2 linked regions of the Caenorhabditis elegans genome follow. The protein of the gene in region 1 purifies or fractionates together with the protein of each later gene. This does not show direct contact. Each region holds a gene or a part of one and is shown on either strand. Other genes may lie near its edges.

Region 1 (5,445 bases):
AATCGCTGCCGAATCAATGAACGGTTACTTGATGTTCGAGCAACGTCTCGGGTGCACGGTAGGTCAACTTCTACCATTATATCCTTGAAAAACTTATTAAATTTAGGTGATGAAACCAGAACTTATCCCGAAGGCAATGCGCCATGGCCCACTGCTTGTGATGCGTCCATCTTACTTGGGCATCGCTAAAAAAGATACAATTGCCAGAAACAATACCACCGGAAAAAATGACGTCATCAATGCCAAGAAACGCGTGCAAAATCTCAACAAAACTTTGAAGAAGCTGCAGAATATGGGGATCAACTATGATTTCTCTGTGTCTGGAACACCAAGAACGCCACTTAAGAAGGTCATTGACAATGAGGTTCAATTTATCAGTGATGTCACCCCGAAAAGCACGACTCCGAAAATTGTGAAAGCTGCAACTCCAAAAGCAGCTACTCCAAAGGCCGTGACTCCAAAACAAGCAACTCCGAAAGTTTCCACTCCAGTCACCAAAAAGGTTGTCATCAAGACTCCTAAAACTGAAAAGCCGGAACCCAAACAGTTCACTCCAAAAACTCGCGCAGGAAAGAAGGCAGCTGCTGCTGCTACTCCACAGGCTAAATCTACGCTATCCAACGTACGAAAAACTTTAAATAAAATTTGGTTATATTAATTTTCCAGACAATCCTCAAATCCGTCGCTGCAAGTGCCCGTCCAGCTGCTGTCGAAAAGAAAACATTGAGATCTCGTGGAAAGAAGAAGAGCTTGTAAGCGTCCTGATTTCTGTTGTTAATCATTTTATTTTTTTTCCGCAAACTGTTGTTGTTCTTATTTTTATACACATTCATTGTTGATTTTTAATTGAATTGATTTTGTTTTTCATGAATACAAATAATCTATTCAAACTTTTCAAACACTAATTATAAATCGATAGCAACTGGATATTTTCCAGTGAGACATGCGGTGCAATGTCCTGGAGAGAAGTTGGCAGCTCGTTCGATTCCTTTTTGAACAGACTGAAAAAAAATTAAATTGAGGAGAAAGTGAGGTTCAAACTCACCGAAACTAAACCGTCAACCGAAAGATACCGTACTGAATCGGCTCCAACAAATTGGCAGATTTCTGGAATTGTTTTTTCGGCAGCAATCAATTCCTTTGTGGTTGGAATGTTGATTCCCATAAAACATGGGAATTTTACAGGCGGGGAAGCAATTCGTAGATGAACCTTTAAATTTAGAGGTATTATTTGAATAATGCGGTCTTGACACGATCGAAATTTCTAAGATACCGTACTCTACCGTATACTCCAGTTTCTCGTTTTTATGTATTCCGCTATTGTTTTCTTAATATTTGCTGAACATCTAGATGCACAGTTTTACAACAAATATATGTATTGGAAAAATCTGCAAAAACGGAGAATTACTCGCGTTATACGGTAGCTGAAAATTTTTGCTCGTGTCAAGACCTTTTTCACGGTTTATAAGGTGAAAAATCATTATTTTTAACAACAAGGGTAATACCTCTTTTGCTCCAGCATCTCTTAACATTTTTACCAAAGTTCTCATCGTATTTCCACGTACAATTGAATCATCTACTAACACAATCCTTTGTCCATGAATCTTTTTCTTCAATACTCCTGAAATAGAATTCATGAAGTCTTTCTAAATAGTTTTCTTTATTTTACCAAATTTCATTTTAATCGCATTTTGTCTCATCTCATCATTTGGTTCTATAAATGATCTTCCAACATATGAATTTCTGTGTAAAACAGGTTCATATGTGATTCCAGACTGAGAAGCGTATCCAATTGCTGCACTCAGCGAAGAATCTGGAACATTTCCAACAATATCTGCTTCTAGATCATCTTCAAGAGCCATCGTTTTTCCACATTCTTCACGAACAGTTTGTACTTGTTGTCCTTCAATTTCTGAATCATTTCGTGCAAAATAGACATATTCGAATATGCACATAGCCAGAGGAGTATTCGGTTTCATCTGAAATGACTCATATAATTCCAGGTTTCTGATTTTTCAGCATAGCCCATCTGTCTCGATTGTAATTTTGGAAAATACCAAAAATAACCAGAAAGTCTAAAAACTACATGTATTTGCAAAACTTTAAAAACACTTTTTTAAATTTTAATGTCTAACAAAATACATACATGAGAAAATGAGGTCAGAGAAGGCGGTAGGTAGGCGCGTAGGCAGGCCAAGATATATGTAAGTTTACCTGCCACACCGACTTGATTCCTCCTGTCGATAATTCCACAATTTCTCCTGGTCTCACTTCGAAATCTAATTTAGCATTTGCAGGAAATGCACAAGATTCAGAAGATGCAATGAATGCTTCTGGATTTCCATTTTTAGAATATACAGTACCAACACAAAGTGGACGATTTCCAAATGGATCACGAATTGCGTATAGTCTATCAAATGTCATTACTAGTAGAGAATATGACATGTTTAGTGCAGACATTGTTACTGCGAGCTCCTGAAGTTTTTTGGTTTAAGAATTTTCATGTTTTTCAAAAACTCACTCTTGTAATATCACCCATCTCTTGTCCATACTTGCATTTTACATTCAGAGCAATCGCTTTTGCAATCATTTGAGCAATAAGCTCTGAGTCAGTGTCAGTTGATAAACCAACACCTTCATGAAGTACTTCCTTTCTTTTTTGTTTCGCATCAACCAATTCTCCATTATGAGCAATTGCTACAGTACCCATTGCAGTATATACCACAAATGGTTGTACACAATTGATTCCAGACTTCTTCTTTCCTGCAGTTGAATACCTATTATGACCAATTATTATCGATTGCCCATTCATTCTTGAGATATTATCTTCAGTAATCACATCTCGGACAAGTCCATGACCTTTGATAATTTCCACGTGGTCTCGAGTGATTCCATCTGAACCAACGAGTCCTGTTGATTCAGTTCCTCTGCAAAATATACATGATAAGAATTGCAAATTTGCAACTAATTTGTTTTAGTATTTTATTTTTCTATCACGCACGGAAAACAATTTAGAAACTAGACAATATTTGCAAGAAATGCTAGACTTATTCATTTAGCTATTTCGATTTTTTGCAAACTCAAAATCACTGCACAATCTACTTGTTTGCAACAATGTCAACCACTGCAACGCTACAAGCACTTTATTGGTCGTGTGTCCGAGTGGTTAGCGCTGTTTGCTGTGACCCACGAGACGCCAGTTCAATCTCTACATACGCGTCATTTTCATCCAATTGGCAACGTGATTCTAATGTTGGCGATTCAGCGTATTTCTGACGCAAAATTGATAACTTCTCCATTGACGTCTAGTCAGACTAAACTGGCTCGGATACAATTAGGGAGTTTACACTTTTGCCTTCTTGTGGAACGATGGCTTAAGTTAAGCAGAAGCGGAATGAACGGGAAGAGAAAACGAGAGCTTTTTGAAAAATTAGATATTTAGGAATGAGGAGCTGAACAGTTAAAAATTCAAACTGAAACCAATGTAGGAGATGTATGAAATCAAACTTTTTGAGACAGAGCTTATTAAAAATTTAAACTTAAAACCCCACCTGTGTTGAAGAGCAGCCAATCCATTTGCAGCAAGAACATTCAAATGCTCATAATTTCCAGCGGCAACAATCCCAAATATACCACACATTGTTCGGTGTGATCGTCGTCAGAAATCAATTGCCTAATGTGCATGTTATTATCTTTTTCGATGCTCTGAATGTTTGATACGCCAATCATAAAACCTTTACACCCTCCACCTGCTATGTTTTTAAAGTTATTGCCTATTTTTCATGGAAAAGTTCACTTCTGTCGATAGAGCCAGGTTTTTGAACTTTTTCCGCTGATAAGAACAAGTGAATGTCTAATTGAAGTTTGATTTTAAAAGGAGTTTTTAGGTTTAATTGAAAATAAACACGTTGCTCGGGAATACGATAACTATAAGATGTGAATGAAATAAAACTTAACCTGGCGCGAGAGCTAAAATCTTCGGCTTTCAGAATCTGTAATTTACTTTCGCAGCAGATGCATGGAAATCTGGAGAGTTTAATTTTAAAATGTAATACTGAATCTAATGAAATTCCTGTTTGAAAAAGGTTTGTGAGTATGTTATCAAACTTTTGCAACTTTCTGACAACATTTTTCTGTAAAATTTTTTTTTTTCTGCCAACTTCAATTTATTTGAGCAGATTTTTTTAGAGTGTCATGTTGTGTCTAGAAAGTAGATATTGTTGTCACTTGGACTCCGTAGAGCCCGTCCGTCCCAACTTTGCGGATGTATGTGCTTGGTCAGGTTCACCCACGTCAACAGTTATCAACTGTCAATATGGACTTCGAAAATATTCTTTACATACTTTCCTGTTAATATCTGAATTGGTAAAATGGTTTTCGTTCTTTGAAATTCCAACACAATTCAAAAATCAAAATATCCCTCTGTTTGTTATTGAACATTGACCACCCAGTTGTATTTACAAGTTGACATTAGGTTTTTGAATTTCAAAAAATTTCCGAACAACTTCGCTTTTCTCCATTTTACTTGAGCTCCCTGTCAAAAATAGCCTTTCTGTATGTGTGTGCATTGTTTTATATTTGAACAGCGAAATTGCACGTGAGACGAAGAGACGCAGACAGCAAAGATTGTCGCGAAAATGAGCGCCCACTTACTTTTTGGCTAAACTTATCAAAATTGCTCAAAAAATAAGGAGACAGTCAAGGATATATCTTTTGAAAGTTAAGCACACATATCTGAAATTTGTTTTACTGAAAAAAGAAGTTGCTCAAGAAAATGCCAAGTCAATCAGTGGAAGAACAAAATGTAAGTTTAATCCATTTTTATATTCGTTTAGATTTTTGTAAATTAGAAAATATTAAAGGTACATAGGTGAACTTGAAAATTATTTTTGAAGAAAGTTTTGAACGTTTATAAAAGTGACTCACAAAACTATTAAGTAGTTTTGAGTATTTGCTCAATTTTGTGGTGACTTATATGTCACATATTTAATCAAGATTCAACCACTCATATTAATGGGAAAAGTATTCTAGTTTAGAAGTAGTTTTTAAATTTTTTTTTAAATTCTATGCTTCCTTGCCGCAAAAATCTTTGCTATGGGTTTCATCAATAGTGGTTTCTTAAATTTTTCCGACGCTTGATTTCCCATTTGTTAGGTCTATACATTTTTCTTGAATTTTATTATAATTTCTCTAGCTCTGCTTTAAAAAAAAAGTAGTCCAAATCAGGCGGACAAGTTCACCCGACAGCCTTCCTCGCTGTTTTCAACCCGATATCTGCCTACTGGCCTACTGGTGTGCACATAGTTTCAGACTAGATGCGCGTAATAAATTTTTTAAGAACAAGTTCATTGAAATACAAACGTGCCTAACAAAGTCTGGGAGTCGTTCCAAAACTCATAAAAACTCATAGGTCGTATAAAATTCATTCATTTTTTTTTAGAAAAT
Region 2 (5,007 bases), on another chromosome or scaffold:
GGTGAAAGATTCATGAAACAAAAGCCCTTTTAATGGGATAAAAATGTAGGAAACGGTTGGAAAAACAAATACAATGGGTACAATTGAACGAATATTTCCACTTTTTTGTACTTTGTGCTAAGATCATAAAATGTCTATAACCTTATCCTTTTTTTAATATTAAAAAAACCATTCGATTAGAAGTTATAATATGGAAATTTCAATGATACCAAAAACTAGAGCTCAAGCTTTACGAAATGATGCATTCGTAAGATTTGCTCCTTTAAATGTTTCTGAAAGAATTTTCTGAAGATGATCACAGATTATATGAACTTATTGAGAGGAAGTATAGAATGAAAGTGTAAACGAATTATTATTTTCTCAGTTTTTTGTTGGTTGTATTGTCTTTTTTTGTGAATTCTCCAGCTTCCGTGTTAATTGAATTTATATTTTGAGGAACTAAAAAAGACGAACAAGAAGAAAATATAATTGTTTTGGTGTCAGAAAGGATTTAGGAAGGGAGAAGAACAATACATACATGTTTTCACAGTGATAAGTAGAGAACGATTTTTCAGAACCTGAACGTGCCCAATTTCACGAAATTGATATTTCAATTAGCTCAAATAAAACTACTTGATCATAGTATTGTATGTGATAATATTGCCAATTATTAAATCATTCACTAATGCTAAAATGACGAATTACATAACATAGTAAAACTTATCAAAAATCTTGAATTTTTATTTTCATCCAAAAGTGACAATTTTCCCCCTATCATAATAATGGAAGGCGACCGAAATATTATTTTTTATACAAAAAATATATTTTGATAATGTTTAAATTATTTTCAATTGAACATTGTAAGTCTTTGAAAATGCAAGAATGGTCTATTTCATTGACGAACATCCGTTTTAACTTGATTGAATTATTAGCTTGAAGTAGAATTACACCCCTTAAAATTATATGCTATTCCAATGAACTATAATATTTGGTAACTTATTTAAAAACAGGATGAACACTTTAAATTTGAAAAAATTCAACTTTTTAATCTAGGCCGTATGTTTTGGTTATGAAGTTCTGCTAAAATGATTTTCTGATTTCAATTTAAGCTGTTCCTGTGAAAAAATGTTGATGTTTGGTTTAGGGTTAGAAGTCACGAAAGGAGCAAAATAAGTCAAGTGCATAAATTGAAATCAAAAGGAACAAGGGGAAAAAGAAAGATGGCAACATAAAACAAAGTCAATTTTCCGGATGAATAAACTCAAAAAAAGAAAGAAATAAACGAACCAATGTCAATGTTCTCAACAGCTTCTTCTACAGAGCAATCCTTGGATTGAACAGTTTTTTTGAATGGATACAAGTTGCAAACCACCACTGAGACGAATGAAATGTTGTGTTTCTGGAAGAAAGAAAATAACCAAAAAATACAAGGAAGGAAAAGAAGATGAAACAAATTCAATTGAAAATAGAAAGAGAAGGTAATTGAATAGACACGGGCGGTAGAAACTGACACGTAGGCTTGCTCTCGGTGCATCATAACAACACCCCAATCAGTTGTGTTCGTTGATTTTTACGCCAATTTTTATGGATGTTCCAAGTTTAATTTTACTCTATGGTTGATGACGAAAGTTGAAGGTTTACAGATTATCTCACAAAAATCTTATTTTCACTCTGAATTGATAAAATATTTCTAAAAATACACAATAGAATTTCAAATAATATAATGTTCCTGGAGTATTATTTTTTGATTATCTCAGAGATTCAATGTTTATCCTGAAATGCAATATGACTGTAATACAATTTTCCGGCAAACAAAGTTTTTTGACTAATATTTTGCCGTTCTCCGTTCAACTGAACGCTAACTTTATGAAATTTTTTTTCGGTTTCTAATTAATAATTTAATTTTAAAGGTGACATATCTCAACTTTGTCTCAAAGTGTTCTAGCCATCAGGGCTGGCACTTTAATCCCAACAAGAGGCAAGACATAGGTTGCGAAATGCGCAAGTAACAAAAAATTGATTCAAAAAAATCCGAAAAAACTCTCTAACCCGTTTTCCAAAAAATTGTAATCCAACTTCAAAAAATTAACAAACAATTGTCAAAGTTTCAGATTAGACTAACTTTTTTTTTAAACAAAAGCGAGATATAATGTTTATTTAAAAAAAAATTATATAATTCGAAATAAGAATTGAAATTTGAATGAAGTCGTGACGACAAAATGAAGAAAAAGAGGACGAAAAATTGTCTTCTAATCTTCTTTTTGTCTCCTTCTCAACTCTTTATTTTCACGAGATAAGCCTTCTTCATCTGACGAAAGGACCAACTTTTTGTCACCCGTTAGCCCTTCTTTTTTTGGTTTTTTTTCTTCACTTCATTCTATTCAATCATGAATTCGATTAAACTAAGTAATGGTGAAATCTTTCAAGCCAGTACAAAGTTCATTTTGTGAGATTCCCGGAAGTTCTACAAAATCCGATCTTTTGTCAGAATTGTTTTGCACAAATGTTGCAAATTTATTTATTTCCACTTAATATAATTTGCAAGTTTCAGTTGAAAACGGTTCGACAACAAACAAGTTAGTTTACAAATAAAAAAAATTCAAAAAAAAAAGAAAATAAGCTATCTCACCTCTAGATCCTTTCGATCACTTTCCGTATCTCTTGCCAAGATTCCTCCATGAACGGCAGGATGCAGAGTTTTAACTCTTCCACCAAGCATCTCAGGAAACTTTGTTACATCTGCCACATCATGAACATCAATTCCTTGATCTCTGATCGCTTTCGCTGTTCCACCGGACGCAATAAGTGTTAAGCCAGCAGATACAAGTCCATGAGCAAGAGGAATAAGTCCTGTCTTGTCAGAGACCGATATAATGGCTGAAAATTAAAAATGTTTAGCTTTATACTTGCAGTTTATTTTAGTTCATTATTGTAGTAGTTTTCATTTGTTAAATACACAAAAAAGGGTTTTCCAAATCAAGGAGCGAGGTGGGTGAGGTTAGAGGCGGGGAAGAGGTGCCCCCGTAACGCCTCGACCTGGTGGAATGTCTAGTTCAATAAATAATTTTAAAGAATAGAAATGAATTATATTTATTCCGGGATTGCTTGAAAAATTAATTTAAAAAAATTCAAAATGAAATTACTTACCAAGTGATTTTCCGTCGGTCATTTCACACAATTCGTCGATGTATTGTATCAAGTCGATAGTCTTGTAAAATTCAATTTCTAACATTTTGTTTAATATTTTTTATTCGAGACGTAAAAATCACACAAAATAAAAAATGAACAAGGAACCAAAAAACACTAAAAATAGAAACTTTTGAGATAATCACAGGAAAACGATGGATGAGGAGAGCATGAGTTTATGCATTTATAAGTATTATTTTGTGAACTTTGAAATCTTGAACATTTTTGGAAAAATACACTCAGAAATTGGCAACTTTTTCAATGAAAAATGTCTTTTAGACTGGTCAAATTGAACAGTGTTGCTCAATTTTTCAATTGATAAGATAAATTTGATAACGAGGCAAATATTATTGTGTTTTTATTGCTTGTAGATGAAAGAATTAATAATCGAAAAAAAATCAGAAGTAGAAAATAAAAAGAACTTTGAAATCGATTTTAAATATCGCAAATATTATATAACTTTGAAATCTGTGTTGGTGTTTCAAAAACCAATAAAAATCTAATGTTTCTCTGTTCTTATAATAAAATCAAAGCTTCGAATTGGAGATATACGTACATTAATTTTTTTTTCTCGATTTGCCAGAAAATCTTCAAAATTTCAAAAAAAAATTCAATCGGTAGTTTCCCTTGATAACAAAACACAAACATTTTTATTATGAAGTGATGGTGTCTCTGTTTTACGACGGTTTTTATTTGTTTCTGTGTGTTATCAGTTTATCAATGTTTTACTTTGACAAAAGCTTTTTTACTCTGTCCACCTATACTTGCAGAATATTCCTTAAAATTGAAAATATCGAGAGGATCTGTTTCCTCTCATTTCAGTTGTTAGCAGTAAATTAGGCTTCATGTAAAAAGATTTCTGTGTCTAGATTTCATGGACCTATAAATAAATGTTTGGAAATCGATGACAAGAAATAAATTGTTTTTATTTCTAGACATAATTATTTTTTCTAATGATATCTTTCTATTTCTTAAATTCTAAAAACTAAAAGTTATATTTTATTTGAAGACCTGACTACATTTTAGCTCCGGATTGTCGAACTGTTGATACGTGCGAAGCAACAAACATTGTACGTCCACTGACTTCTGTTTGTTTTCCAATTGATGCTAATACCAGGTTACGAATACGACTGCAACTTTTTTTAAAAATGTTTTCAGTCAACCAAAGTTCTAAAACTTACGGATTAATTAATACATAAAGCATTGAATTGATTGAATTCCAAATCATCCATACAACATGTCCAATGAACACTCCAATTGGTAATTCCCATGGAATTGGTAGATATTCCCATGTCAAATACCCAATAACATGAAATATAGAAACACATAATACTTGAATTGTCAATATTAATTCTTTCTTTGACAATAATGCTGCTTTCTGAAAATCAACAAATGTTGAAAAATAATGAAACATTAGCTCTTCTGAAGGGAAATGAAAAGTTTCAAAACATTCTTAATACAAATATCTGCCCTTTGTTTGCGACTACTGTGAAATTTTTTTCATATACCTAAAACGTTTTGAGATTTGACGAATTGAAAATTTAATTCGAAAATCATGGGGTAGCTGTAGATGATATTGTACTTGAAAGTTTTTTGCATGAAATACTGTAGAAACAGTTTTCGATAAGTTTTTTTCTTCAATTTTCTTTGAAACGAAATTATATGTATGTTTTACTCACAAAATAAATATAACTGAAGATAACCAAATGAGCAAATAATGAGAATACGACATCTATTAAAGATATATCAGCACTTACAGACCTTAATACAGCTGATAATGGATTTGAAGCCTGGAAATAAAATTGAAAAGTTGACTATCATTTGGCAATATGCGAAGCTTTC

What was found.
Region 2: the proteins of ppat-1 (region 1) and atic-1 fractionate together in Caenorhabditis elegans (co-fractionation; one large-scale study listed by BioGRID). This does not show direct contact.

The regions. Positions count from the first base shown.
Region 1 is NC_003281.10:4,687,540-4,692,984, reverse strand, and holds ppat-1 (Amidophosphoribosyltransferase), read right to left. Parts: upstream 3,706-5,445; 5' UTR 3,641-3,705; coding exon 3,552-3,640; intron 3,352-3,551; exon of another isoform or gene 3,214-3,351; intron 2,928-3,213; coding exon 2,522-2,927; intron 2,476-2,521; coding exon 2,215-2,475; intron 1,980-2,214; coding exon 1,670-1,979; intron 1,622-1,669; coding exon 1,506-1,621; intron 1,211-1,505; coding exon 1,046-1,210; intron 1,002-1,045; coding exon 906-1,001; 3' UTR 814-905; downstream 1-813. Other genes in the region: nifk-1 (RRM domain-containing protein), read left to right, coding at 1-58, 107-622, 667-756; tag-243 (Costars domain-containing protein), read left to right, coding at 4,775-4,804.
Region 2 is NC_003282.8:7,880,208-7,885,214, reverse strand, and holds the start of atic-1 (Bifunctional purine biosynthesis protein ATIC), read right to left. Parts: upstream 3,188-5,007; 5' UTR 3,149-3,187; coding exon 3,127-3,148; intron 2,857-3,126; coding exon 2,609-2,856; intron 1,379-2,608; coding exon 1,267-1,378; intron 1-1,266. Other genes in the region: srt-73 (Serpentine Receptor, class T), read right to left, coding at 4,181-4,295, 4,347-4,543, 4,845-4,955.